Regions from separate parts of the Mus musculus genome. Here region 1 is reported to be linked to region 2. Evidence: microRNA targets listed by miRTarBase, many of them from high-throughput screens and not tested one by one. Region 2 holds a microRNA gene; the other region holds the end of a gene's coding sequence.

Region 1 (3,081 bases), not on the chromosome of region 2:
GGGCTCTGCTAGAACTGGTCCTCGCAGGTTAGAAGTGCAGACAGGCCCCGACGGAAGTCCCACTTCCACACGAGTAAACGATCAGACGATCTGGCTGGCTGAGGGCGGGCAAGAGAGGTTCTCACCGGTTCCAGGATCCGGTGGAATCGGCCCATTCGCTCCACCACCCAGGCCTCCTGCTGAGGCACAAACAGGATCACGGTGTTTCGGGGCAGTCCAGAGGAGGCGCGGCGCGGAACGCGGCCAGAAGCCTGCACCGAGCCCTGAAGGAAGACGAGAGTAGGCTGGGGACCAGGCGCGGATCCCTAAATCCCTCTCCCTAGATCTCGACACCCCCCCCAAGGGTCCCCGGAGAGTGATTCACGTGGGGACCATGACCTGTGACCACAGTCCTTCCCCCAAAGTTAGAAGCCCACTCCTTCCCAGCTCAAGACCCAGGTGATGTCGGTCCCGAGCCTCTGGTGAAGGTTGCCTCGCTCTCACCCTCAGCAAAAGGGCTCCAGTGCCCCGCGCCGCGCGCGCCAGCATTTCCCACAGCCTCGGCGACCTCCGGAACCAACGAGAGGTGGGGCAGAGCGGCCTCTTGTGAAGCCTGAACCCGAGCCCTTCCTTCAGCTGGTCCACTCCGCCCGACGTACTTCCGGCGTATTAGTCCACCCTCCCATCCCCACTAGTCGGCGTCCGTCAAATCGTTCCCTGGGAAACGTAGGCTTTGAAGAGAGAGCCCGAGAGTGCAAGTTTGTTCTGGTTCTCAAAAACTACGAAGCTCCTGGGCATTGTGGTAGAAATTGAGGCAATATTCCGTCCGCAAGTGGTACAGGAACACCGCCCACCAAATTCTGTACCCACAGCCGTGACTCAGTTTACCCTCCAGCTCGTGTATAACTGTCCTAATCTGTCACCATAACGACAATGGATTGGATTGGCGCTCAGTAGTTGCCCGTGGTTGCCATAGTGACATTCTTGGGTAGTCATGCTGTTGTGCCCAGCTCTCCCACTGGGGACTGACCCCATTCCCGTTGTCATGGTAACTAGGAGGCCTAACTTTACCTTAGGACTGGGCGGAGATTTCTCCCTTCCCTCTTTTCCCAAGGCATCAACAGCTCTTTTTCATATTTTTTTCTGAGCCAGAAACGGTCAGGCATGATCCCCTTACATACAGAGGGAAACAAAGAGCCTCAGCCTTTCATTTTTGTCTGAAACACATCAACCTTGCTCAGGTCTCTGACACTCTCTCAAATACAAGCTTTAAGAGGCCTGTATCCCCCCTCATCTCCTTCTTCTCATTCTCCTCCTCCTCCTTCATTTTACATATACAGACACTGAGGTTCTGATGGGGCTAAACTACAGAATCAGTGTAAGAATCCAGATTCTCAGAGTTTAGCCTCTGTAGCTTCACTTTACCCACCCAGCCCCCAGCACCTTATACAAAAAGGACTAAGACTATGGTCCAAGACTCAGCTCATCCCAGCCTAAGATCTCATGGGTTTGAGCTTGTTGCCAGAATTCCAGCTCCCTTTAGGCCCCACATCTCCATCCTCTTGAACACAAAAAAAAGTAGAGGTTAGTTCAAGTTTCCAAACAAGAATTTATTCTTTTTTTTTTCCTTAAAAAATGTACCAGGTACAATTTTTCCCATTTTTTTGTTTGTTTGTTTTGTTTTTCAAGTTTCAGCAAATGCTTGTTCCCCTCAGCCAAGCCCCAAGAGTTAAGGGTTGAGGCTGGGTCAGAGTCTTAAGTGAGGAGTGGAGTAACTGGGAACCATGTGACTGAATGAGGGGCACCCCTCATCCCAGCTGAGGTAGGTGGGTCAGAGTCTGGTCAGGTGAGAGGAGGTTCCCCAGTCCTTAGGCCTGACTCTGTCCCTGGACACCTTCCTCAGTCAGGACACCAAAGCAAGGAGACACAGGCAGGAGGAGAGGGACAAGTGAGTCTGAGCCCTAGGTAAGAGGTGGCTAAACCCCTGTGTTACACATACATGCACATTCTGTCTCTCTCTCACACACACACCCTACACAAACCCAAGTTTGTATGCACGCACACAGCTGTACACACACACACACACACACACACACACACCACACATACAGGCTTTCGAAGATGGGTTGAAGGGCAGGAAAGGGAAAAGGAATAGAGAAAGCCGAGGGAAGCTGAGTCTTTGGCTAAGTGACTCAGTTCCTCTGGAATAAACCCTCTGCCCTTAGCCAGAGGAGAGCAGCTCTCCCCTTGCCCCGACATCAGCTTCTTCAAGTCCTGAGGTTGGAGCAATATCTGAGAGTGGGGTGATGCCAATTATCAGGTTTGGGAGGTCACCAAGGCAATCCAATTTGAATAAATTATAAATTAAAAATAAATAAAATAATAAGTGGCCCCTGCCCAGGACAGGGAGGCAACGCTGGCATTACTTGCCTGGGAACTTGGGACAATCTCAGGGTAGCTCTGGTTCCTCCCTAACTACCTAAGCTGGCCTGGGAAACCCAAGGGAGGGGACAGGCACATGAAGTACCCAGAGCAGACAGGGTATGGAAGGACCGAAGCTTTAAACACCCAAATAGTCAATTTGGGCGTGAGCGGGATGAGGACTTTAATTCAAGCCTGAAGGGGCTCTCGCCATTTCTCCACAGTTTACCCTGTCCAGGATGGTAGGACAGGCAGGCTTTGGGCCCACCTAGGTTCAGGATGCTTGCGATCAGGGCAAAGGTGAATAACGTGGATTATGGGGGGCCTCAGTCACAGCCTGAAGTTCATAGGGGAGCCCCGTGTCCAGCTCCAGGCTCCGGCGGGAAAAAAGCAGGCGGATATCTCCATGCAGGCTTAAGCGGCCTGAGCGAGAGCTCCGGAACCTGAGGGGAAGACAGTGTGAGCACGTCAGCATCCGGATGATGGAGAAGAAAGGGGAGATTGTTGAGGGCAGAGGACAGATGGCTACCCGAGCTTCTCCAGCTCTCCCCGGGTCCTGGGCTTACCTGAGGTGCAGCAAGTAGCAGAGGAGGCGGTGGGTGGGGCTAGCATTTCCCTCCTCACCCACAGGCACCAAGAAGAGGCGATGGCGCAGGAAGGTCATGTGGGCAGCAGGCATGT
Region 2 (3,081 bases):
ATGTTGAAGGACTGAGGGGCTAGCTCAGGCAGAGCAAAGGCATCGCAAAGGCTGGAAAACATCGGAGTGAAGCTGAAGGGCCTGAGCTAGGGTTGGAGAGGAATGGGGAGCCAGACATTCATCCCGGTTACTTTTGGTTACAGGACGTGGCGGCTGGTCGGATAAAGGGGAGCTGCTGGGAAGGGTTCGACCCCAGACCTGGGCAGTGAAGGTATAGCTGGCAGCAGTGGGCAGGTGAGGACCGCCGTCTGCTGGGCAGGTGAGTCTCCTTCTTCTCTCTTGGCCTCGCTCCACTGACCTTCTAAACGAAGGTTTAGAGAGGGGGCCTGGTGAGAAGAAGCGGCTGGCCTCGCAGCAGAATGGCACATAGAAAGGCAGGATAGTTAGCAAAGGAGACATCGTCTCGGGGGGAGCCGAGACAGAAGGAGGCTGGGGGACCATTGGCGACCCCAGGTGGAAAGAGCTCTTAGAGAGAAGAAAGAAGAGGTGCAGGGTTGCCAGTAAAGACTGAGGCCGCTGCCTCCAGGGAGGTGATAGGAGTCCTTGGAGACAGTGGCAGAGACCATGGGATCCAGCAAGAACAGAAGCATTCTAGGCTGGGGTCAAACAGGGCAAGATGGGGTCACAAGACACAGATGGGTCCCCAGCCGCCACAACATCCCACCCACCGTAATTCACTTAGAAGAAGGTTCAAGAGTGGCTCTGGCAAAGTCCCAAGTTTGCCAGAGCCTCAATAACTGGAGAATGGAAAAGAAGGGCAGTGCAGGGTGTCACCAGAAGGGGAGTGGGGGCTGCAGGTATCGGACTCCAGAGGGATTTTACAGCAAGGAGGCTGCAGTGGGTCCAGCCTGCAGACACACCATTCCCATGAGGCACTGCGGCCCAGGGACTGGTGCGGAAAGGGCCCACAGTGGACTTGGTACACTGTATGCCCTAACCGCTCAGTCCCTGGGTCTGGCATGACAGACAGAACATTTCCAGGGGAGTCAAGGGCACAGGATGAAGCCAGACGAGGCGAGGCAGGCGGGGCAGAATGAATGAGTTTCTAGGGAGGGAGGTTGGGTGCAGGTAGAGCGAGTAGCTGGGGTGGTGAGCCAGGGAGGCACTGGCCTCCAGAGTCCGTGGCCAAGGAGGGCCTTGCGGGCGGCGACGGAGCAGTGATCGGTGTCTCGAAGAGCTCGGACTGGAGACTAGGGTAAGTGTCTGTCCCGCTCGTGGTCACCCAGTCTCCTCCCACGCAAGTTCAATTAACTCATGTCTTCATTTCTCCCTATAGCCAGGTCTCCAGCAGAGGTGGATGTGCCTGCCAGTCACTGAAGGCGAGGATGACAGGTGTGGTCAATGTGACAGAAAGACATGACATGGTCCGGTGTGATGGAGAGGACAGAAGGGCAGTCATCCAGCCTTCTTGGTGAGCATACTCCCTGCCACAGGGCTAGTCCGCTCAACCACCTAATTGTCCACCCACTCACTCAGGATTCTGTCCTTTGCAGAACACCATGGGCTGGCGCCTTGTCGTAGAAGCCGTCTGTTCTTTCACTTTTCCCAAAGAGCTAACACTTCTCTGCTGCTCTCTGGATCCTCCTCCCCCTACCTTGAACCCTCAAGATGAAAGGTGAGTTCTCTTCTGCCCCATGTGGGTGGGAGAGGGTGGGATGCCAAGGACAGGGGTCTCATTCTCTCCCACCCATAGAAATGGTGCTACCCAGCTCATGTCTGGGCCTTTGAATCCGGGGACTTCTTTAAGTCCGTCTCGTTCTGAATCAAGAAGATGCTGCAATCAGAACCACTACACTACCTGCCTCAGGAATCTGCTCCAAGGTGAGCTGGGGCACCCTTTGGAAGCTTGCCAAGCCCACTCCCCACCCCACCCCCCGCCCCACCTCATTTGTCTTTATTCTCTTTGCAGGTGAAGCTGAAAGAACAGATGGTGTCAACATTTTGAAAGAGCAGACTCATAGCACCCACCCACCCCTGAGAATCCATCTTCATGGCCAACTCTGCCTGACCCGGGAGACCACCACCCACATCATCCTGGAGCCAAGCCTCTACCCCGGGATGACTTCATCATCTCCCTCCTGTCTTTTTCTTCTTCCTCCTTTCCTGTAATTCTGTTTCTTTCCTTTTGTTCCTTCCTTGCTTGAGAGACTCAAAGCACCCGTGACTCTGTTTCCCCATTTACCCCCTTTTGAATTTGCACTAAGTCGATTGCACTGGTTTGGAGTCCCGGAGATAGCTTTGAGTCTCTCCGTATGAATGTATACAGCGAGTGTGTAAACCTCTTTGGCAATGCTGCCCCAGTACCCACCTGTCGTCCATCTCCGTCTGAGGGCAACTGGGTGTGGCCGTGTGCTTGAGGCCTCGCCTTCCCCTCGCCTAGTCTGGAAGCAGTTCCATCATAAAGTGTTCAACATGCCCTACTTCATCCTTTGCCCCTCCTCACCAGGGCCTCACCAGAGGTCCTGGGTCCATCAATAAATACAGTTACAGTCATTGGTCTCGTGGACTTCAATATAATGCGACTCATGGGGGGAGGTTGGGGGGGCAGGGGAAAGAAATGAGGGAAGGGGAATAAAAGGGATAGGGTACACCATCCATGATGAAGGGGATAATGAAATGGGGAGGGCCTCTAGGATGGAATGGGGAATAGGAGATGGCTTATGAAAAGGTGGGTGGCACTGGGATAGGAGGCTCATGGGATGGCACACAGCGAAAGGCCTCATGGGATGCCAAGAAGCTATGGTATGGAAGGGGCCTATGAATATGAAATGGTGCCTGAAGAACGGGCAAAGCAGTCGACATCACAATTAAAAAATGCCAGAGTGCCATACGGAGACAGAGGCAGGGCTGTGAGCAGGGTCCCTCAAGACAGAGAGGCTGGGGAGGTGAAGGACATCCTTAGCAATGAGAGATGGTGGGCCCAGCCAGAAACCTGGATTCTACACTGCTCCCAAGGTCCTGCCTGGATGACTCTGAGTCCTCACACTAATCCCAACTCCCGAGGCATAATGTAGACTGCACAGTAAATCTGACTCCTTGCAGTAAGGCTCGTAATGGGTAGGCAGCTACACATGAGGCTGC

The links. Region 2 holds the annotated microRNA mmu-miR-675-3p (CUGUAUGCCCUAACCGCUCAGU, at 925-946, shown strand). A microRNA usually pairs through its seed, bases 2 to 8, with sites in the 3' UTR of a target mRNA and lowers its output. Matches are read on the target gene's strand: a 7mer-m8 pairs with bases 2 to 8, a 7mer-A1 pairs with bases 2 to 7 and ends in A, and an 8mer does both.
Region 1: miRTarBase lists Fam214b as a target of mmu-miR-675-3p. Seed matches in the 3' UTR shown: 8mer at 2,028-2,035.

What each region holds. Positions count from the first base shown.
Region 1 is chr4:43,030,846-43,033,926 of GRCm38, forward strand. Fam214b (family with sequence similarity 214, member B) reads right to left here. Exons shown (of 9, transcript NM_001253353.1): 8 at 2,967-3,081; 9 at 1,569-2,843. The coding sequence ends at 2,690. It overlaps Stoml2 (stomatin (Epb7.2)-like 2), which reads right to left and starts at 539. Exons shown (of 10, transcript NM_023231.2): 1 at 484-539; 2 at 126-263. The coding sequence starts at 528.
Region 2 is chr7:142,574,943-142,578,023 of GRCm38, reverse strand. Mir675 (microRNA 675) reads left to right here and starts at 877; the gene lies at 877-960. It overlaps H19 (H19, imprinted maternally expressed transcript), which reads left to right. Exons shown (of 5, transcript NR_130974.1): 1 at 1-1,195; 2 at 1,281-1,411; 3 at 1,494-1,615; 4 at 1,694-1,821; 5 at 1,910-2,494.